Linked DNA regions of Rhinolophus ferrumequinum. The protein of the gene in region 2 purifies or fractionates together with the protein of the main gene of each other region. This does not show direct contact. Links are inferred from orthologs where the notes say so. Each region holds a gene or a part of one and is shown on either strand. Other genes may lie near its edges.

The links.
Region 1: the proteins of POLR2B (region 2) and MED19 purify together in Homo sapiens (affinity purification with mass spectrometry; 4 studies listed by BioGRID and IntAct, with this or other methods). This does not show direct contact. The link is inferred for Rhinolophus ferrumequinum from reciprocal best matches to the Homo sapiens genes POLR2B and MED19.
Region 3: the proteins of POLR2B (region 2) and GPN1 purify together in Homo sapiens (affinity purification with mass spectrometry; 4 studies listed by BioGRID and IntAct, with this or other methods). This does not show direct contact. The link is inferred for Rhinolophus ferrumequinum from reciprocal best matches to the Homo sapiens genes POLR2B and GPN1.

The regions. Positions count from the first base shown.
Region 1 is NC_046294.1:11,474,504-11,482,395, reverse strand, and holds the start of MED19 (mediator of RNA polymerase II transcription subunit 19), read right to left. Parts: upstream 3,286-7,892; 5' UTR 3,202-3,285; coding exon 2,934-3,201; intron 1-2,933. Other genes in the region: TMX2 (thioredoxin-related transmembrane protein 2), read left to right, coding at 3,521-3,787. UniProt on the Homo sapiens protein: Component of the Mediator complex, a coactivator involved in the regulated transcription of nearly all RNA polymerase II-dependent genes.
Region 2 is NC_046288.1:18,687,881-18,695,907, reverse strand, and holds the start of POLR2B (DNA-directed RNA polymerase II subunit RPB2), read right to left. Parts: upstream 3,689-8,027; 5' UTR 3,136-3,688; coding exon 3,117-3,135; intron 1-3,116. Other genes in the region: NOA1 (nitric oxide-associated protein 1), read left to right, coding at 3,914-5,063, 5,941-6,105, 6,739-6,944. UniProt on the Homo sapiens protein: Catalytic core component of RNA polymerase II (Pol II), a DNA-dependent RNA polymerase which synthesizes mRNA precursors and many functional non-coding RNAs using the four ribonucleoside triphosphates as substrates.
Region 3 is NC_046296.1:53,152,980-53,160,832, forward strand, and holds the start of GPN1 (GPN-loop GTPase 1), read right to left. Parts: upstream 3,286-7,853; 5' UTR 3,228-3,285; coding exon 3,117-3,227; intron 2,086-3,116; coding exon 1,992-2,085; intron 387-1,991; coding exon 347-386; intron 1-346. Other genes in the region: CCDC121 (coiled-coil domain-containing protein 121), read left to right, coding at 3,399-3,856, 4,762-5,653. UniProt on the Homo sapiens protein: Small GTPase required for proper nuclear import of RNA polymerase II (RNAPII). May act at an RNAP assembly step prior to nuclear import.

The DNA.
Region 1 (7,892 bases), on a different chromosome or scaffold from region 2:
ATTGTATATCTGACTTTTGCCAAATAATGTAAACTCATTAGTAATTTAATAAGGATCCCAGTGGCAAGGGTGGGAATATCTAGCCTACAAGTTCATCTAGAGTTATGATAAACACAAAGGGTAAAATGACAAAAGTTGCTTGTTTATAATCCTTCACTTGGGAAAACTCAGGTTCTGAACTGTGAGCCCTGAGGGCAGACAATGCCTTGTTCACTCATGTATGGCTGATGCCCAAACCAGCCACACTTGGTGCTCAATAACTATTAAATGAACAAGGAATTTTTTTCCCTTCATACCTCTAGGCATTACCCTATTCTTTTTCTGTATTTTCATATCAAACATCTCAGAAAAGTGATCTGTTACTATCAGAGGCTCAGTGCCACACTGCCTTTCCTCATAACTTGGCACTACCTTATGCCATTACAGTGTCCTGAGTTCCCCCGCCCCAGTCAGCTCTCCTCCTTCCAGGTGGTTATGCTCAAGGCTCAGGTGAAACGGCACTTTGCTATTTCTGAGTCCATCCAACTTTCTATCAGTTCTATGAAGATGATTTATAAATCTCTCTCTCCGGCCCTGACTCCTTTCCTGAAAACTAATCTTGTATTTCCAACTTCCACTTAGTCAATTCCATGCAGATTCTATTTTTTTTTTAAAACTCTGAATCTTCCTCACTTCATTGATGGTTTCTCTATTTCAATACATGGCACACCCATTTTCGAGATATTTTTAGAAGCAATACTCCTCAGTTCAAAAATCAGTGGTTTCCTATTACTCTCAGGAAAAAGCTCAATTCCTTTGACTGGCACTCATGGTTAAACACATCTTACTGTAACTTAGCTTTGGGGCCCACTCAACCATCAGTCCCCTATGCAAACTTTCTGATCCATCCAAAATGGGTCTCCATTATCTCCTGAAAAAAAAACAAAACACCCTCATAGTGTTTCCTTTTAAGAAATTTCTGTCAGGAAAATTTCTGTTAGGACCTAATTATAGGAAAATTCTTCCTAATATTCCTCACCAATACATGAATTCTTCAAAGTCCAGTCAAGTGACAACTTATTCTTGCTGTCATCTTTTTTTTTTTTTAAGGAGGGCACAGCTCCCAGTGGCCCATGTGGGGATCGAACTGGCAACCTTGGTGCTACCAGCACCACCCTCTAAACAACTGAGCTAACTGGCCACCCTTCTTGCTGTCATTTTGGATAACAAGGAACACATTTTGAAAACCATCATGTAGTTCTTAATAGTTGCCCTATGTGAGGCATGACCACAAAGTAATGAGATTGGCCTTGACAAGAAATATGGTCACTGTCCTCAAACCACATAATTTGCATCCCTAAGTAAAATAAGCTTTTAATCTCTCTTCTCACCACATGCCCCCACCTTTCTACACACCCCGCGTTTGTCCAGAATATCTATTCAACATCTGTCAATTAATTGAGATACAATCAGAACTGGTAAGGATAAAGAAACTGCTGGTAGACATCAACCACCAACCAACCAAAGGGAAGTCAACCTCTTTATACTTGTTTTTTAAACTATAAAGTGAAGATAATGTCTACTTCAGAGGGCTATTCTACGTATTAAATTCATTATTATTTCCCTCGACTGGTGATGTAGCAGTAGGACTTGGGATTAACTGAAAGGCATGTTGGAGTCTTAACTTGTTCAGAATGACTCTTGACTTGCACCTCTTCAAACTTGTTCCTTCCTGGTCTCCATACTACCGTCCGCTCAATTATTCAGGCCAAGAATTTACAAGTCATCCTTAACTCCTCTCTTCCTTATTTTTATATTCAGTCCTTCATTCCAGTCAGCTCTAACTTATCTTGTATGCATTCATTTGTGTCCTCTACTGCTATCATTTAGTCCAAACCATGATCTCTTAACTGGATTACTGAGCAGTTTAACTTCTGATTGATTCCCTCACATTCCATCCCTTGTGTAGCTGCTTGAATGATTAAAAATAAGTCAGATTATGTCACCATCCTGTGTTAAAATGGATTCCCCCTGAACTTAAAATCTAAATGCTTTATAAACGCCTCTGCCTGCCTGGCCCACCTATATCTTCTGTCACTCTTTCCCTGTTCACGTCACTGGAGTCCAAATGGTTTTCTATCCTTTCCAAGCTTTTTCTCACATCAGGGCTTCTGATTTCATTTCTTGTATTTAGAATTATCCCTCTCACTCCTACATAGCTGGCTCTTTTTCTATGCTTCCATTTTAGCTCAAATGGTACCTACTCAGCAAGGGCTTCTCTGATCACTTTAGCTAAAGTAGTTGTGTCCCCTTAATTCTTTGACGTGTTTTTTTTCCTTGTAGCACTAACCACTATCTGCTGTTAATCTGGTTTACTCTGCGTTCCCCCACTGAAATGTAAACTCCAAAAAAAGCAAGGATCCTGTCAGTCTCGTTCACAGTTGTATCTTCAGCATTTAGAACAGTGGTACACAGCAAATGCTCAACAAAATCACTTTCTGAAAGAATCTGATTTAATTTAATTCTGTCACTTCTTCAAACAGATGAAGAAACGCTGAGACCCTGAGGGTAACATGTTCCAAATCAAGAGCAAGTTTGTGACAGATTTGAAACGAAAACCTCAGGACCACAGTGATGTTGAATCGGGACTCTCGAGTTCCAAACTCACTCTGGATAATTTTTAGGGAACCATAATAAACCAGTGTCAGGGACAACGAACGGATATAGCGTGAAAAATGGTTACGGAGATGCATTCTCTTCCCACCTTGAATCCACCCCAAGACTCACGTCATCGGTTTGGTTGTGAATTCTCAGAGGCCTTTGGACTTAGAGCTCCAAGGGCCTAACACGCGTTGTCTAGGTTACCTTGCACCTCCGCCGGCCGGCTAAGACCCACGCCCATCACCCCCTCCTTAGGATCTGATTGGCTGGCTACGGCCAGGCCTAGTACTCACCTGGCAGTTCCCTCATTAGGTAGAAGGGACCACAACCAGCTGCTGACTTGTCGGCGCCGGGAGGGGCCGTGACCGTGGTGGGGGGCGGAGCCGTGCCAGGTCCCCCGCCTGGAGGAGGGGGAGGCGGGGGTGGAGGTTTTCCTGGTCCGAAGCCGAGTGCGGCTGGAGGCGGGGGTGGGTCAGCCTGAGCTCCGAACAGCGCCGTGAAATTCTCCATCTTCCCCTCTACTCCGGCGCTGTCCGGGTGTCTGGCGCTAGTGGTTTTCATTGGACAATCTTTTCACGGTGTACCGCCCTCTTCCTCCGTGAGCCGCTTATCATTGGATGTCTTGGGGCCCGCCTACTTTTTCCGGCAACTACTTCCGTCGCTTTCTGAGCACGTTCAGGATGTGCTATCTCACCCTATTAATTTCTCTGTTGTTTCCGCTCGTCACAGTCACATATCCAATAAAATGACTTAGGTGGAAAAAACGACAGTTAGGTTGACCAATAAAGTGTGAAATCCGTTTTTCAGGTCCTCCCTACTGTAGTGGCCAATCATAGATACACTTCCGGGTCCGGAGGCGGTGCATCCGAGACTAGGCCCAATGGAAGTCTCAATGGTGGGAGAGGCGGGGCCAGACTTATCGACCCTGAAGAGCGGCGAGCGCCCCGGGGCCAAGAAGATGGCGGTCCTGGCACCTTTAATTGCTCTGGTGTATTCGGTGCCGCGCCTTTCACGATGGCTGGCCCGACCTTACTACCTTCTGTCTGCCCTGCTCTCTGCTGCCTTCCTTCTCGTGAGGAAGCTGCCCCCGCTCTGCCACACTCTCCCCACGCAACGCGAAGATGGCAACCCGTGTGACTTTGACTGGGTGAGCGACCCCCACCTTAGGACCCCGCGACCTTGACTGTCCTTTCCCCCGCTATTGCATCCAGGGGCCCCGAAGTTTCCGTCTTTGAGAACTCACACCTGAGTTTTTCAAACTCTAGCCGACTTACCATTAAGAGCATGGGGCCTGGACCGTCATCGAGTCTAAATTTCTTCATGTTTAATTAAGATGGGAAAACAGCAGATTAGCCTGCATAACAGCCTGGGCCTTCTGATTCTTGAGTCCAGGGTTTTTTTCATCTTACCATTCATACTCGTCAACAGCACTCCCCAAACTCTACACACCTATGTACAGTCTTTTACAGTGCTGCTCATGTGTAAAGCCACTTAAGGAGCCGGGTAGATAAACAAGGCAAGTAGTAGTATTTCCTTTTTATTGGTGAAGAAATGATTTCTGCGTGATTAGGAGACTTGCCCTAGGTCACACAACGAGTGGGTGACTGGGATTGGGAACCTCTCTTCTGGCCATAGGACCTGCACACTCTTAATCACCCATTTCTTCGTTAACATTTCCTGAATGAGTGCTATATGCTAGGCACTGTGGTGCATCCCGAGGCTGCCAAAATGAATAAGGATGCCAAAATGAATAAAATTGTTAGGCTTATCGGAAAGGAATTGTAAAACATCCTAAAGAAATCTGTCTCAAGCCTCTTGCTGCACTTCCTGAGTAGGAGTGAAGGGACCACTTAGACAAATGAACTGAAGCTCTACGCCCTCTGCTGTATGGCAGCATCTGTGTTCTGAGGAAGGAGGGTCACCCTGAGTTTTTTGTCTTTTTTCCATTCCTCCCCCCAAAAATGAGCCTTGAACTTTACCAGAACTCACTCCCTTACTTTTATTCTCCATCCCTTGTTTACTCTTTCATACTTCCTCTGCCCTTTCCCAGACAGTATTATTAATTAGCTCAAGTGTAGCCATGCTACTGCAAAAGATTCCTGTTTTTATCTGATATTATATACCACTAACCAAAGTGGGACTCAAAAATATAAATGCAGGGCGCGTTTAAAGTCTGGCTTCCCAGCAGTTGTTACAGTTTGGGCTCAAATAAACTGATAAACATTCTCTAAAAACAGCAAGGAAAAAAAAAGTATACACACAGACGCACACACACACACATATAAAGATTTCAATAAGTGTAAGGACATTTTATATAATTAATTTATCTGTGTACTCTAGTATGCAAAATACTGGAAGGTTTTATATTTTGTTATTACTCTGGTACAATTTTCTTTTAACTACAGATGGTCCTTGACTTACGATTTTTCAACTTTAGAGTGGTGTGAAAGTGATATACATTCAGTAGAAACCATGCTTCGAGTTTTGAATTTTGATCTTTTTCTAGGCTAGCAGTATGTTTTATGATACTCTGTCGTGATTCTGGCCAGTGGCATTGAGCCATAGCTCCCAGTTACCCACGCCTTCAAGAGGGTGAACAACCGATACTCTATTGTGTAGTATTAAATACCTTTTCAACTTATGATATTTTCAATTTTAATGATGGGTTTATCGGGTTCATCGTGAGTCGTGGAGCATCTCTACTTAGGGTTGATATCCAGTGTTTTCCTGGAAAATCTGTGCTTTACTGAATCACCTTGGTGATTGGGAAGTTAGGATATTAGAGTAAATAATGTTAGCAATAACAGGTCAACCTCAAATTTTCAGTGGCTTAACAGAATAAAAGTTGATTTCTATTTTCTTAAAATAAAAGGAAAGAATCAAGCATTTTACTTTTCTTGTATACTATCTCAACATAACCATATAATTAATAAGGGAATGTTCGTATCTTAACAGGAGAATTTGAGCTAATAAATACAGAAGGAATGATCGAATTTAAAAATCATTTAGCAAACCCTAATGAAATAATAAACCTAGGCATTGATTGTCTGTGGATACTGACACCATCATACAGAAGGTTGATAGGTCCTCTGAAGGGATGGAATAGAGAGTATCTAGCACCACCTACGATGTATTTTTGGCAAAAGATTGGGGTTTTATTGTATTCAAACCTCTAGATTTCACTGCCACTTTACAAGAAATATGGGAGACAGATCATCATCAGAACAAATACCGTAAGTGTGCGAGCAGCCAAATCCAGAAAGTGGGAAAGCTGACACTGCAACTGACTCAATTTCTTCAACAAATAACTAGCTTGGGGTAAAAAGGAAAAGCAGTTATCCTTTAGAGACTAAGGAAGACCTTAATCAGCCAAAAGTAATGTGTGCATCTTGCTTGCTTGTTCCTGATTTAAGCAAACAACTGTACAAAGACAATTTGAGGTAATTGGGATCATTTGAATAAGGACCAAGTATTAGATGACATTAAGGAATTATTAATTGTGTTAGGTATGATACTGGTATTTTGGTTTGTTAAAAAAAGGTCCATATCTGTGAGATACACACTGAAGTATTTACAGGTGAAATGATATAGTTGGAATTTGCTTTTAGTTTCTCCAGCAAAAAACGTGGCTAGCATAGACGAAATGGAAGCATTTTGGCAAAATGTTACTGTTGAAGCTGAGTAATAGAGCTTCATTAAAGTATTGTACAGGAGGAAAAATAGTTTCCCTCTATCCTTCTGAGGTCTTGGCTGAGACCGCTGTAATAAAAGACAAAGACAAAGACACAGAAGTCTCATGTACAAGGTCAGACAATTAAGTTCGCAAACTCATCCTAGAAAAAGTGCTCCATATCTCATGGCTAAATATCACTACGTTCACTTTTGAAGTCCTCCCCTTGGGAAGCTATACACCGACGCCAGCACCTAGTCCACCCTTCAAAGCAATTTTGGAACTTTTTCTGGAATGGCCATCAGAGCTGTTGTCATATTACCCTTGATGTCCTGAATGTCATCAAAATGTCTTCCTTTGAATATTTCTTTTATCTTCGGGTGAAGAAAGAAGTCATTGGGGGCCAGATCAGGTGAGTAGGGAGGGTGTTCCAATACAGTTATTTGTTTACTGGCTAAAAACTCCCTCACAGACAGTGCTGTGTGAGCTGGTGCATTGTCGTGAAGCAAGAGCCATGAATTATTGGTGAAAAGTTCAGGTCATGTAACTTTTTCACGCAGGCTTTTCAGCACTTCCAAATAGTAAACTTGGTTAACTGTCCAGTTGGTACAAATTCATAATGAATAATCCCTCTGATATCAAAAAAGGTTAGCAACATCCTTGCAACAAGTTCACAAACTTAATTGTCAGACCTCATACACATGTGAGATACCCAAAGAGAAATAAGTGACTCAAAGAGGAGGCTTACCACTCTGGCTTATATAGCATCTTCAACAAAGGAAAATACATTTGGAGAAATGATTGGATAAAGGGACGCAGGGTTTTTTGTTTGTTTGTTTGTTTTTGGGTTTTTTTTAGTGCTTTTTTTTTTTATTATTATTATTGGGGAAGGGGAACAGGACTTTATTGGGGAACAGTGTGTACTTCCAGGACTTTTTTCCAAGTCAAGTTGTCCTTTCCATCTTAGTTGTCGAGGGTGCTGTTCAGCTTCAAGTTATTGTTTCAGTCTTAATTATGGAAGGCGCAGCTCAGCTCCAGGTCCAGTTGCCATTGCTAGTTGTGCGGGCGCAGCCCACCATCCCTTGAGGGAGAGGAACCGGCAACCTGGTGGTTGAGAGCCCACGCTCCAACCAACTGAGCCATCTGGGAGCTCAGCGGCAGCTCAGCTCAAGGTACCGCGTTCAATCTTAGTTGCAGGGGGCGCTGCCCACCATCCCTTGCGGGACTCAAGGAATCGAACTGGCAACCTTGTGGTTGAGAGCCCACTGGCCCATGTGGGAATCGAACTGGCAGCCTTCGGAGTTAGGAGCATGGAGCTCTAACCGCCTGAGCCACCGGGCCTGCCCCAGAACGCAGTTTTAAGCTTCCAAGGGCAGCAAGCTCTGGGAAGGTAAACTAATGGTAGATAAAGGCTAGCTTGTTATACAGGTGCCTCTGGTGCTATCTTCTGGCTGATAGGGTTTAAAGTTCTCTCTTGACTAACTTTTTTCTGGTAGAGAGCTTTGGAGGGACACCTTTGAAAATTTATGCCCTGCTTTTAGACAAAGGGGAAGAACAGGGAGCTTTTCTTGTATCTACTTTT
Region 2 (8,027 bases):
AAGGTTGTTACTCATTTATTCATTCATCCATTTTAAAATATTTATTGAATGTGTTTACTACGTCCCAGGCATTGGCGACACCATCTTCAACAAGATAAAAGACGGCTGCATCCTCAAGGAGATTATCACCAAATGGGGAGACACAGACAAGATGAAGTCAATTAAGAGTATGAACAGTGACATGGAGTCTTAACCAGGACCTGAGGGTAGGGAAGACTTCCCAAAAGCTAAGCTAAGCAGAGATCTCGTGTATGAATAAATAAGACTAAATCAGGCAAAAGGAGGGGTTGAGAATGGGAGGGGTAGAGAAGTATTCAAAAAAAAAGACAGAAAAAGTATTCCAGAAAAAAACAACCTGTGCAAAAGACTCCACAATAAAAGATATTCAAGGAGTGAAAGAAGGCCAATGTAGCTGAAGCACAGAGCGTGCAGCTGGGAGTAGTAAAAGAGCTTGGTCTTTACCAATAGAGCTTTGCGGAACCAGTCTAAGATTTTAGCAAGGCTGTAGCTAGATCAGATTTTCATTTCTGAAAAATCACTATGGCCACAGAGTGGAGAGTGGATTGAGAGGCAAGAAAACCTTAAGTACACACACCACTTAGGAGTCTGGAGAAATAAGCTGGGCAAGGAGACAAAGTAGTGACTAGATCTGACATGTTTAGGAGATAGAACCCCCAGGGCTTGATGACTCACTAGGTATAGGGGTGAAGAAGAAGAATCAAGAATCATGCCCTGGATTCTGATTTCAACAACAGAGGAGGGTGATACCATTCACTGAGATGGAGAACACAAAAGGAAGCAGCTTTGGAAGGGGGATGAGGAAAGGAAAATGACCAATTTGAATAATGACAAGTTTGAAGGGCCTGAGAGACATCCATGTGAAACTGTCTAGTGGCAGTTAGACATACAAAACATCTGGACTGGAAATATATTTTCAGAAGTCGTTCACATAAAATGGTAAATGAAGCCATGGAGAATGGATGAAATCATCCAGGAAGAATGTGAACAGAAAAGGATAAAAAGGAAAGTCACAACATAGGTAAGAGCCATTAAGTCAGAGTGATCTGGCAAAAGAAAGGAGTTCCAGAAGGAAGTCATCAACAATATTGAATACCACTGGGTCTGGATAAAGTTTAAAAATGCCCACCTGATTTACCAACTGAGAAGTCACTGATATTCTTATTAAAAGCTGTTTTAATGTAGTGGCATGAGCAGAATTAGATTGCAGTGCGTTGAGGAGAACCTGAAAGGTGGGGGTTGAATCAAGGACAGCCTATTCTTTTTAGAAGCTTGCTGTGAAATGTGGAAAGCTTTGCCTTCCAAAGGCAAAATATTGGGAAAAAAGGAAACAATAAAGAGTTTAACTTATTTTCTTATGGACAAAAGAGATCTAATAATTCACATAGAAAGAAGCCAACTGAAAAGGAGTGTCTGAAAACTGACAAATCTAATAAAAGATACAAAGGACACAGGCAGGAATGTAAACTCAAAGCTGAAGAAGACTTTTATCAAGAGGATGACTTGTAACTCTTTTTTCCACAGAATTATTTATTAACATGGCGAATGAGAGGATAAAGCACAACAATCACTATCATGGTCACTTGGCACCATCTGGTCACTTAGCAAAATGTTAAACATGTATATCATTTGACCTGACATTTCTACATCTAGAAATTATCCTACAGACATACTTGTACTAAACAAAAAAAAGTACAAGATTATTAATTCCAGCACTGTTTGAACCACGGGAAGAAAAAGGGGAAATAACCCAAATGTCCATCAATAAGACACTAAAGTTATGGCATATCCATTCAAACTACGTAGCATTGGGGGGGGGGGAAATGAGAATGCTCTCTATGGATATGAAAATCTCCCAGGTAGATAAATACACACACACACACACACACACACATATACACACATAGACATATATATATATATATATATATATATATATATATATATATATATATAAAACGTAAAAAATAAAAAACACAGAAAAGTGTAAATGTTCCTATGGGTGGGTGGTGGCAACAGAATCCCACTTATTTCCTTGAATGTACATAAAACACTATGGAGTGATAATCTAAGACAAGTGGGTACCTACTATGAAGGGGGTTCACACTGGGAGATGGTGGGCAAGAAAAGAGACCTGACACTAACATTTTTGTATTTTCTGGCTTATGAGACACAGAAATACATTACCTAATCAAAAAATTAAATTAAGAAAAATTTTTTGAATTTCTTTTCCACTCAGAGAGGCGTTAAGGGAATATAGTAATGCTAATACATTTCTAGACTCAAGATGTAATTGACACAGAGTAATTTAAACAGCAGAGTTTAAGCTTTTGTTTTTCTAGTTTCTCCTTGAAGTAGCTGAGGTAATAAGAAATGTGAAGGGTGGCTACGGGCTGGGAGCTAGAAGTAAATGAAGTTTGAAATAGTAGCTGTGGAGAATGGAAAGGGGAGCTTTAAAAATACATAATGAAAATACAGGAGACATGACTAATTCGGCACGTGAAAAGATATATTGGCCCTGTTCAGTAGAACACGTACCATCTAAGAACTATGTTATTTTGTGGGAAAAGGAAATTTAAATGTCCTCTTTTCAGACAATTGCCTTAGATGTATGACAGCATTGAAGGAATGCCAAACTAGACCAACCCCGTCCAACCACACACTGTATTTTTTGTCCCCGGTGTATTTCCAAAGACTAACACAAAGCCTGGCCCAGGTTGACGCTCATAAATTCAATAAATCCACTAATTCTGGCCTTAAGGAAAATGAAAAAAGGAACCCTTCACTGCACACAAAGTCAAAACAACGGAATTTATGTTAGGGTTCTGCACGCTATTCCAATACAGGAAGGAGGTATGATTTATCCAGCAGACAATGGAAGGAACAAGTGCCACTCAGACCGGGAATATTAATGCTACATTCCCTGCACCCTCCACCTCTCGTAATCCCGGCTTCGTCCCCGGCCTGGGGTATGCAGGGAACATGACTGTGGACACTTGTGCAACGGGCTAGGAGGAAGGCCAATCCTCAATTCGTCCAGCTCCCCACGTTTCCCTACTTAGATGGGTCGCCGGGGAGTGTTCTGAGCGGTCACCTACCCTCGTCCGCGTCATACATGTTTGCAAACGGTTCCCGAACTCTAAGCTCTTGAAATCACAGACAGAACGGTGCGCACCAACGACCAGCACCAGGAGCCTGAGACAAAGTAATTTCCGCCGACGGCGTTCCCAGAATACTCTGCGTCTTCCGCCAAAGGCCACCCACAAAGAAGCCAACGTAAGATCTGCGCCTGCGCATATGGTAGGCTAAAGTGGACAAGGGTTAGAATTGCGCACGCGCAAACTGCAGGCCTACGGGTCCGGTGGCTGATTGCGCACACCACTCCTACAGTCTGAAGATCGGTTCCAGCCAATGAAAAGTTTTTGGTCGTTTTTCAATATTGCACAAATAATGACACCTGAAAAAAAGAAATAAGAGACTTAATTAGTAAAAAGTGTTCATTGTGGCCGTCAGCGTATGGCATTCGACGTTGTACTTTTTGCACTTTTAAAGCCGAAAAACAGTGCTTTTTAAAACGTGGCTTATTAAAGGCGGGTTATGCCATTGGTGGCGCATTGAAGAAGGCTGAAAGTGACCAAACCCTCACAAGCTTCTTCTGCCCAACCGGCACACTCTAGGTCTCCGTCCGGTACCTTTGCCACATCTTTGAGCGGGCTCTTAAGCCTTGGGGCTTTCATCGCGAGAATTTACGAGATTAGATGCGGGAGGAGGAGCCGAAAAGTGCCTGACAGTTTTCAGGTAGTTCCGGGCTTAATCTCGGGTTTAATATGCCACATGGGCCCCAGTACGCGTGCGCACAAGTGGCTCCGCCCCTTGGTACAGGGCCGGGTTCCCCATGCTACCTGCACTCCTAACCCGTAGACTGCTGTGCCCCTTGCTGCGGGGTTCGGTTCCCACCGTAGCGTGCCATGGCCTCTGGGATCCGCTCCTCAAGAGAAGATGCGCGGCCGCCCCCTCCTCCCAGCACCTGTCGGGCCTGGGACGTGAGCTTCCTGGTGGCCCGACGGCGACTGGGGGTTACGAAGGCAGGGATGACATGGAGGAGCGTTTTCTGTTCCCCGAGTACGTCCCGGAGCCGGAGCCCGCACCGACCCTAGAAGAGCAGCTGCGCGAGCTGCAGCAGCGGCAGGAGGAGGAGGAGCGACAGAAGCAACAGCGGCAGGAGGAGCGGCGGCTGCAGAAGTTACGGACCAGCCGCCGGGTGCACCCGGTCGTGGGGCACCCGGACCCGACGGTGCCGCGGAGCGGCCTGAATTGCTCGGGCTGCGGGGCGGAGCTGCATTGCCAGGACCCTGCCGTGCCCGGCTACCTGCCCAGTGAGAAGTTTCTTAGCGCGGCAGCGCAGGCCGACGGCGGGCTGGCGCGGACCGTGTGCCAGCGCTGCTGGCTGCTGGTGCATCACCGGCGCGCCCTGCGCCTGCAGGTGAGCCGCGAGCAATACCTGGAGTTGGTGAGCGCCGCTCTGCGGCGGCCCGGACCCGCCCTGGTGCTGTACATGGTGGACCTGCTCGATCTGCCCGACGCCCTGCTGCCCGACTTGCCCGCGCTGGTAGGCCCCAAGCAGCTGATCGTGCTGGGAAACAAGGTGGACCTGCTTCCCCAGGACGCTCCCGGCTACCTACAGCGGCTCCGGGAGCGGCTGTGGGACGACTGTGCCCGCGCCGGGCTCCTGCGGCTCCCTGGCCACTTAGGGCCACAGCACCCCGGCGGGGACGGGCCACCGGACGGGCAGAAGAATTGGAACGCTTCCACCGGGTCCCGCACCGTGCTCAGGGACGTGCGGCTCATCAGCGCCAAGACTGGCTATGGAGTGGAAGAATTGATCTCTGCGCTTCAGCGCTCCTGGCGCTACCGCGGCGACGTCTACCTGGTTGGCGCCACCAACGCTGGCAAGTCCACTCTCTTCAACACGCTCCTGGAGTCGGATTACTGCATCGCCAAGGGCGCTGAGGCAATCGACAGAGCTACCATCTCCCCTTGGCCTGGTGAGCCTTAGGATGCCTGCCCCTTAAAGCCACCAGGGAGTGTCTGGATCCTTCCCTGTAAAAATTCTCTCCCTACTTTGGTCACACCTCTCTTCTGTGTCAGCTTAGTGCTTGAAAAGTTAGTATATGTCATAGTAACTTCCTGATAGAAATATTTGTGTTTCTATCATAGTAACTTCCTGATAGAAATATTTACTTCTATCTTTCGGTCACTGTTCTAGGCACTGGAGATAAACCAGAGAACAAAGCAAAGTTCCTGCTTTCTTGGAGGTTTCTCTTGTGGCTTTACTTTGTATGTTTCCCAGAAAAACCCTTTGACTTTCTAAACCTCCCTTTACCCCTCAATCTTACTCTTCATATCTTGAGTTCATGATATCAGTTTGCCACACATGTTTAACATTTAAATAGTTCACTAATGCAATATGATGTATGGCTTTAGAAGACGTCAATTTTGTGGCTTCAGGGAACTTCTGTGACTGGGAAATGGGTCCATCTATGACCCTGTTTGTATTTAATAGTTGGCAAAATTAATGGCATTATTTGTTCCTTTGAAACCAGTGTTTGATTTTGCTTGGTAAGCTGTTCTTTGCTGTCCTAAACTATGAATTATACACAGAAGTACTTTTATATAGTATGGTGAAGATGGAAAGAAATCAGGCCTGCGGGTTTGGGATTCACCTCCAGGTTGAGCCTGTGAGCCATTCTCTGAATCTATTTCCTCATCTGTAAAGTAAGAATAATTTTGTAGAGGGTTGTCATGAAGGTTAAGTGAAATAAATTACAGTGCCCAAGACAGTGTTGCTCCTTGAAAATATTAGCTTTCCTCCCTTTATTCCCTTGTGCAATGTTTATAAAAATGTATTCTTTGATATTTCAGGTACTACATTAAACCTTCTGAAGTTTCCTATTTGCAACCCAACTCCTTACAGAATGTTTGAAAGGCAAAAAAGGCTAAAAAAAAATGCAAATGAAGTTGAAGAAGATCTTAGTCAGCTAGAACAAAATCAACTTACTCTCCTGAAAAAGCATGGTTATGTAGTAGGTAAGCATCTTCTAGAGGAAAACTCTTGGTGGATCTATGCTCAAATTCTTTGTTGAGCAACCTGAAATACAGCTGTCTGAGGCTAGCCAGTTTTTGCTGGGAGAGACTACTTTTCTCGTTCTGGAATATAGAGGCCCTTTAGAGGCAAGGTGGATGTTTGGAAAGCCAGAGTTCACTGTGCTAAGAAAACTGAGACAGTAGATACTTGGAGAAATGCTGGAAAGGAATCATGAAGCAACTGCCCACCTAGCCATTGTCAGCAGAAGAATTTCCACAAAGATGTAGCCTCGCTCCTTGAAGACCAGTACAGGTTGTTGACTCCATGCAGCAGCTCTAAATTAGATGGTCCCCCTTTCATTGGTTATCTCTTTTCAACCTTCATTTACAAATGCAGTTTGACTTCCACCAGTTCTCACCACCCACCTCCCTCTGATATACACAGCCAGCCACACACTTGATGATCACAAGAGTCTGACTCCCACTGACTTAGAAAGAAAAAAGCAAAGCTATCATTGTAGTCTCACTTACATACCCCATATTAGTCTTCGTAACTTGAGTTGAACATGAGAATTACCTGTCTGGAGTCAAAGGCTTTAAAGGAGTGGCTAATAACTTCAATATAACTTATTCTAGGACGAGTTGGAAGAACATTCTTGTATTCAGAAGAACAGAAGGATGAAGCTGCCTTTGAGTTTGATGCTGATTCACTTGCCTTTGACATGGAAAATGAACCTGTGATGGTTGCAGATAAGTCCACCAAACGAGTAGAACTGACCCCACAAGATGTGAAAGATGCCCACTGGTTTTATGACACCCCTGGAATTACAAAAGAAAATTGTGTATGTATTTGATGTTTTTTAGAAACTTTAGATTAACCTTCAATTGTATGAGTACCGTCTTAATTGACAGAACACAGGAAAGGAGGTATACTTTCCTTATAGACTCAGTTCTGATTCATTCATAGCAACAGTTCAGGAATGAATCTGTATGCCATCAAGTTCTGTATTCCATTTGGTGGGCTTCACTGCTGACACCCTACTTACAGTATTGTGGTTGTTACCTTAGTTAGCAAGACATTTACAGAAGCGTAGATTTTGAGGTTGGAAGAAATCATAAATATCACTGCAGTCCGGCCACCTAGTCCATGCTTGAATCCCCTCTATAACATAGCCATCAAGAGGGCGTCCAGCTTGACCTGAAGTGAGGAGTGACTCACTATCAGCTGAAGCAGTGTCACCTTGCCTCCCAAGGTAACCTATTTGATCTCTGACCTGCTCTTTTTGTGGAGCTGAACAGTCTCCCTGTAACGTATGCCCATTGTTCCTCAAGGTGTATGAAATGCATGCCTGTTTCCCTTGCCAGACTTTGAGGTATTTTAAAGTATGATGTCCTGTCTTTTCCTCACTCTCCCATTTTCTTCTCTTTCATTGGCTCATCCAACTTCCTGAGTACTTCCTGTGCTGACAATCCTGATTCTTTGTCATTATTTCCTACCTATAGACATTATTTCCTCCTCTGAGACAGGCTGTTCATCCATCCAGGCACGTTTTCAGAATGGTTTCTAACTTGTTTTTGTCTGACACTAAGAACTGAATTTCTTGTATAAGTGCCCTCAGATGAGCATAACTGAGAATAGTATTATATATCTTTTTAATCCATGGCAGGATCTCCTGGACACTTTTGATTGTATGGTGTGAAGCTCAGCCTATATCCTACAAACTCAGTAAATGTCACTTTTTATTCATTTGCAGTTTTGATCATCAAATCATTGACGGACTCAAGTGTGCATCTAGGATACAACCTTACCACAGATCTGTAATCAGTTTCCTTTGAATCTGGTTACTGACTAGTTTCTAATTTGCCTAATTATCTCTGTATCTCACCTGTGAAACAACATTGGTTTCTTAGGTACTTTTCCTTCC
Region 3 (7,853 bases), on a different chromosome or scaffold from region 2:
AGTCTGAAAAGGTGGTGACCAATGGATCCTTAAGGCAACAATACTTTCTGGAATCTAGGCACACTACCAGCTAGCCTCTCATTCTGAGCTCTCTACAACAGCCTGCAATCTAGGAAGATGGTAAGAAAACTGAAAACACAAGCTAAAATAGTGTTTCTAATCACTTACAATACTTCTCCCCACATCCATCTTCCATCCTCCTAATAAAATTACTTTGAAGCACTCAAATGCTTTTGTTAGTATAGTTCACAAGGAAATGAAAAAACACTCTTGCAAAGCCACAAAATATACAGACGGTAACTACCCAGAAATGAGTCAATACCAAAGTAGATGTAGAAAAGGATACTGTTTCATGACTTCTTTATACTTCACAGTGTCACGAATATCTGGACGGGAAAGAAAGAATTAACTGGAATTCAACATATATGAAATAATACAGCATGAGACCTTCCACCAATAATATTCTAAGCAATAGGTCTCTCAAGTCATCTCTGCTTCCTCTGAGGAAAAAAAATTAAGTTTATCCCTCAGCATCTGAGTTACTTTTTAAATTTGTTTCCTAAATTTTTAAGCTAAGATCATTGAATTACGATAGCAAAAGAAGCAAGATTTTGAAAAGAAGCAAGATTTTGAAGAGAAGAATAGAAAGGCAAAAGGTGTCCTGTACCTTCTCTACCAGCAAGAAACTGAAACTAGACTCTTAGGATTCGCTTGTCAGCATCGTCTTCTAATTTCCCCAGCTTCACACTGGTTTCCTCCCTCGTAAAGGATAACTGCCAGGTAACCCAGGAAGAATGTTAGGCTAGGAGCTCTCAAGTTATGGTAGAGACGGTCAGAGACCAGGAGAAGATTTATGCAACTTAAATACCTTGTCAGTGATCATAAGCATAGAAAAAGGGAGCTGAATCAAGGAAAAAAACGTTTATTTCTTACTAATTCCTTAGTGGTAACAAAGGTAATGCAGACATGATTTTTAAAAAAAAGAATGAATCTGTCCAGTAATATCTAACTAAACCCATCTACCAGTCTGTAAACCTATCCCATCAACTATTAGAATTAGAATTCTATCCTTTGAGTAAGATGAACAATTTTTCCCCAAATTCTTCTCAAAACAATCTCTGCTTCTTGATACAAGGCCCTCTATTAGTTTGTGCGGGGTACAAGCAGCTTAATAGGTTTAAGAAGAATAAGAAGAGGATTGGCACACAGTGATAGTCTAGAAATCAAGAAACCTAGATCCTATCTAGAATCATGACATTGAATCACATCCATTCTTATTTAGAGTCACAGATTCCTCTTAAAGTCTTATAATTGGGAAACTTTCCCCAAAACAATGTACATGTGCATATATACACACATTTTCCCATGTAACTTTGAGAGTGGAAGCAAGGTTCCTACAAATCAGTAAGTGAACTACCACACAAAAACCCTTATACTCTAACTTTAAGAAAAGAAACTAAAAAGGTATATGTATGTATCAAAGCCTTTTGAAGGGTTTATGGCCTAGAAGTGAGAGGACTGACTTCCTGTCACTTCATTTTCCCAAATAACAACAGCCTGACACCCTAGGGTCAGAAAGAGGGGAGAAATAATGCTGAGTGGTAAGGAAATACATTTGGGAAAGAAGTAAACAAAGAGAAAATGTGAATAAGGGAGAAGCCTGTTTAGGGATTCTAGCAAATCCAAGCAAAGGAGAGTAGATACCGTGTTTCCCCAAAAATAAGACCTAGCCAGACCATCAGCTCTAATGCATCTTTTAGAGCAAAAATTAATATAAGACCCAGTATATCGTATCGTATCGTATCGTATCAGACCCCGTCTTATATCATATTATATAAGACCTGGTCTTATATTAATTTTTGCTCCAAAAGACGCATTAGAGCTGATGGTCCAGCTAGGTCTTATTTTTGGGGAAACACGGTAGTTTAGAAAAAATGAAAGCATTGAAACTGGCAAGCTGGAGGCTTTCCATTCTGAGGCAGTTTACTTACCAATATTGGCAGGAAAGGGAACTTCATGCACAGCCGGGTCCAGGTTGATCACATAAGGTGGAGAGCCTTGGCAATGCAGGTGTCCCGTGAGCCTCTGCAGCAATATGGGGAGAGGGATTGAGTGAGACAAAGAGGGCATGATAAGGGGATAAAGGACATTTCCTTCCATCTGAAACATTCACTTCCAACGTTGAACTCTGTTGAAATGCTACCTTTCTTTATTACCCACTTAACAGAGCCTCCCCTACTCTTGATCATTTACTTGTTTTGTGTGGGGGTTTTCTCTATCACCCCCAGTATAACAGTAGTTTCCTGAAAGCAGGAACCTTGTCAACCTCATTTTCACTGAACACGTACAGAATATTTATAAGAGTTTATTTGACAACAATTGCCAGGAAGCAAGATCTCAGATTCTCCTGAGAATGGCAGTTTTACAGTTTCTTTTATGCATTTGGAATTAAGAAGGTAAACATAAAGAAGATTAAATAACTAAAAGTGGGAGAAGGCGGGGTGTCAGATTACAGGATAGTTAATAAGATTACATGCTCTCTCGAAAAAGAGGCATTTCAAAGGTGTGTTGTTAACCAACCTAGATGCACAAAAACAATGGACAGGGCTTGCTTAAGGCAAAGATAAACCTTTTACTAAAGCAGTTATATGCCTGGGCCATCACTACTCACCACGACCTGCCCCATTAGGAATTTATGATCAGATCACCCTGTGAAGTTACTTTTCATCCACATCTAAAATATTATATAATAGGCATGCAAGACATATGTAATTCTTTAGAAATCTACACTGAAAGTCTGGGTGGTAGCACTGTATTAATCACTATTTACTTGTAAGCCTCTGCCTCCCAGGAGTTGGCAATATTATCGCTAAAACAATTCCAGTACAACTACTTAAGTTGTACCAAGTACTACGCACCGATAGTGTACAAAAGAGAGCGTTAATTAACCCAGGCTCAGGTCGAGAAGGCTTCGCTCAGGAAGGAACCGGAGATGCTGGCAAGTCCCCAAAGCCACGCGCTGCTCCCCTCCAACACCCCAGAGACCTCCCTCCCATTCCCCCACCCGCCACAGACAACCTCAAGCACACCAACTACGCCCGCGCCGTGTACGTCACCTGTACAAAAGTGGTTTTCCCAGATCCCGCCATTCCCAACACCAACAAACACACTGGGGGCCGAGGACCCCCCGAAGCCTGCGGCGCAGCAGCAGCCGCGGACGCCGCCATCTTTCCCCTGGCCCCGCCCCCTCTACCATAGCGACGCAGCGTGGCTAGAGAGACTTCCGCAATGTTCTGGGCTGCGAACGAGGGTAGATCTGCACCTGCCAGAAAGGGAAGAGCGAACGAGCGCCAGAGCATCTTCCTGTCCCGACCTGGCTCGGGAGTCAACTAGTGGCAATGGCGGGGAAGTGTAGAGTGTGGGAAGAGGACTGGAGTGGGCCAGAAAAATTGGAGCTCATGGTCTTAGGATTGGGCCTGGGAAGGGCAAAGCTCTGGTTCCCATGGAAACAAGAGGACCTAGGATCCCAAGGGCAGGACCCCCACACTACGAAAAAGAGAGTGCGTTTCACTTTTCGCCCACCAGGAGCGGGGAACACAGCCTACCGAGAAACGAAGGCTAAGGTTTATTCGGCGGAAGTTAAGCAGCCCAGGGCTGGACCGGCCAGGACTGGGTACCTACGGGGTTGCTGGGCAGCGCCCAGACCCGTTGAACACAGAACCGAGAAATTGCGAAAAGTTTCCTCAGCGGGACGCTGTATCCGTGTGTCGCAGTCCCCTGACACTAGCTCCTTGGCAGTCACCCTCAATGAACTACAGCTAGACCTTGGGGAGAAACGCTGGGATTCCAGTCGCAAGTAGGTACTAAAGGAGCGCTTCCCTCCACGGAAGCGTCCTGGGAAACCGAAAAGGTGGTGCTAGAGCCGAGACGTTTGTTCCTGCTCCCGACCACCGAGTATGTGCTGGTGGCCCTTTGTAGTTGTTAACTAAGTCATAGATCTAAGTTTCACACCTTGGCTGGCTCTGCCACTTGCTAGCGGTGTAAATCGTGGCCAAGTCATAAATTCCCTGAACCTGTTTTCCCTTTAAAATTGAGGTAAGTGGGGATGAGGGAGAAGGTGAGGGGATTAGAAAGCACAATCAATAACCACAAGATTGGCACCAGGATACAAAAGACAGTTGGGGAATAGAATCAATAATGTTGTAAAGATTTTATAGGGTATCCCACGGACACTTGTCTTATTAGGGAGACTGCTTCATGGACGGTGTGTCTGACCACTGCAGTGTACATCTGAAGCTGAATAATATCAATTATATATATATATATGTGTGTGTGTGTGTGTGTGTATATATATATATATATATATATATATATATGGTCACAGGATGTGGAGTACAGCATAAGGAATAGAGGCAATGGAACTGTAACAGCTATATATGATGTCAGAGGGCTAGTAGATTGGGGGAGTGGGGGTTATCACTTTGTGAGGGGTATAAATGTCTATTACATTGTTTTGTACACCTGAAACTAATAATAAAAATGAGATACATTACAGGGCGGTACTGAATGCATATTGTAAATTGTAAAGTACACTCCCTCATCTTTACCCAAGCTATATCATACCCCATGCCTCCTCGCAGTGTCACTAAATAAGTGCTCAAAATATTTTCTTGTATGAATTAAAGTACAATTGTGCATTTTTTATTTCCTAAATTTTAATGAAGAACTGATGGGGGAATGTCTCACTTGTTCTTCCTTCAGGTTTGTTGAGGACTCCAGTGGTCCCCCTCCACCGTATCTTAGTTTAATAAATAATTTTTTTGAGCCAGAGAAGCTAACAATGGCACTGATGGGGCTTAAAGAAACGACAGTGGAAATGATGACGCTGGACAAGCAAATAAAACAAGCTCAAATTTGGCAAGAACCGCTAATGAAGGAAACTTGGCAGCTACTCAGTGAAAAGTTACATGTCCAGGCTGAAAATAAATTCTTTCTGGAATACCTGACCAACAAAACTGAGAGGTATAGAAGGCAATTTGAGAAGCTGTGGAACAGCTATTTGCAAAGAAGTGGGGAGACTGAACAAAGGAGACAAGAATCAGCCTCCAAATATGCGAAACAAACATCAGAGCTTAACACAGAGCTCTTGCAGAAGGGCAAGATCCAATCTGATTTGAACCAGCAGTTGCAGGCATTGAGGGACGTTTCACTATTAAAGGAGAAACAGGAGAGAGCAATGCAGACATTAGAGGAGGAGAAAAGAAAAGTCCAAGCTGAGACAACTGGAAAGAAACAGGAAATCCAGGTCCAGTACCTCCAGGAAAAAGCATTACTGGAGAAACAACTGAGTGAGCCAGATGTTAGGCAGTTGGGAAAGAGAAAAGGAAAGAAGCTTAACAGGAAGATCCAGGCCTTAGAGTTGGCAGCAGAGAATTATACTTTTGAGTTGTACCGCAGTGTCCGCAGAGAGAACCAGCAGTTACAGAAGGAACTATTGCAGCAAACCTGGCAATGCCAGAAGTTGCAGACTACTCAAAGACAGTTCAAAACTCAGAAGCGGCAGCTGCAGCAGGAACAGTGGTATGTGGAGGGCTTAATCCGGGGGAGGCAACGACTGCAAGGCATGCGCCAAAAACAAGAACCCCTCCCATAGGCACCAAAATCAAGGATTAACCCACAGTAATTCCTAAAATATCGCTGATTAAATAAGGACTAGAGCAAGTGTTCTTAGGTGCTGCATAAACTTAGGAAGGCTTTTAGATCTCATTGCTATGGTAAAATAGCCATCATGATGTTTTAGTGTGAAGGTTGGCTAATAAAGATGTCTACTTTCTGCTGTGCTATGAAGGAAATTAAATAGGGTGATGTTACAGAAAGTGTGTTCAGGTGGAAAAGACCTCTGACGTAAACTTCAGTTTGAGACTTGAATGAGAAAATGAAGTATACAATGCAAATGGGGTAAAAATCATTCCAGGAAGAGGGAAGAGTGAATACAAAGGCCCTAAAATGGGAATGAGCTTGGTAGGTTCAGAAAGGTAGTGTGGCTAACATGTTGTTGGGGAATAATAATCAGAGAACATGGGTGGAGCAGAGGAAGATGAGGCTAAAAGGTCAGCAGTAGGAACACAAAGCGCCTTGTAGAACAAGGAAAGGGAGTGACTTAGATTCTAAGTGCCCTGGGAAACCATTAGGCTTTTAGCACGTGAATGAAGTCTGATTTACAGTTTTAAAAACTCACTACAACCTTCTTACGTGGAGTGAATCCAAGCCAGTAAAAAGCAGAAAAAAACAATTAAGAAGCTCCTACTGTAGTCTAGGCAAGAGTTGATGATGGTTCCAACTGGGATCGTAGAAATAGAAGTGAAGACATGGGGGGAGCAGACTATTGGGTGAGGGAAAAATCAAAGGTTAAGATGAAGCAGAAGAAAATGTTCTAAACTTTTCCCTTTGAAGGAGGTAAGCAGAATATATTTTTTTGATTGTTAACTGATTTTGAAAATGAAATATTTCAGACATACAAAAAAATATAAAACTATGACAAACTTACTATACACCTTAAGAAATAAGAACTTCCAAATTCACTCGTAGTCCCTCTGGATGCCAGCACTATACTAAATTTGGTGTTTATCATTCCTGTGCATGTTTCCATACTATGTTTATATATATTAAAATACATATACTAAATATAAATATTTGTATATACTGTACTTTTATATTTACATATATCCATAAACAATGTAGAGCATTTTCGTGTGTTTTTAAATGTTATAAAAATGGTACACTTGATGTATTCTGTAACTTGCTTTTCCCAGACATTATTTTTGAGATATATTCATGATACAAGAAGCTCTAGTTAATTTCATAGCTGTATAGTGTTCTACTATAGGACTACGTCACAATTTATCCCTTCTCCCGATGATGGACAATTAGGTTATGCATTAGAGTAGGTTAACAGAGACCCGAGAATGCATAATGTCTCAAATAACAGACTTTTATTTCTTGCTCATCTAATAGTTTGATAGATGTTCCTGGTTGGCAAGTAGTTCTTCACGGAAGTAGTCTTCAAGGAGTTAACTCTCTTCCTTTTTGTGCTCTGCCATCCCCTACAGCCCATCATCACGTGCATCTAACCCAAGGAAAGGGAAAGCAAACATGGAAGTACACTCACTCACTTAAAAGTTGTAGCATGGAAGTGACACATGTCACTTCCACTCATGTTCCACTGGAGAGTTGGCTTCCCCTTCCCTGCGGTGAATGGCTGGGAAATGGGGTCTAGCCATTTGTCTTATAATCCTATAATTTTGCAAGTTGAGTGCAGATTTTGGTGGACAGCTAGTAATCTCTACTACACATTGTTTCCAGTATCTATTATAAACTGTACTGCAGTAATCACTCTTGTTTATGTCGCCTGGTACACCTGGGCAAGAGGAGTTTCTCTATTATATACCTAGAAGTGAAACTGCTGAGTTTTTGGGCATATCTTCAATTTTGCGAGCTACCACCAAATCATTTCCCAAGTGACTGTATGAATTAACATTCCAAACCATGCATTCGAGTTCACATTGTTCCAAAACCTAGCGGTACCTGATACTGTCAAACTTAAGTTTCTGTTATTCTAATGAATTTAAAAACTTAAAAACTCAATAGTATGATCAGGAGAGTCTATACTGAGTCCTGCTGATCACTGGCCTGATCAGAAAAATGAGTGCCTGCAAGGACCCTGGATGACATTGGGCAAGTTTCCTATACTAATTCACTTTAATCGCAAATTATTCATTTTACCCAGCAGATTTCAGGAGCTAAGGAATGACTGAGACAACTGCATTTGGTACTTAGTTTAAACTCACTCCCAT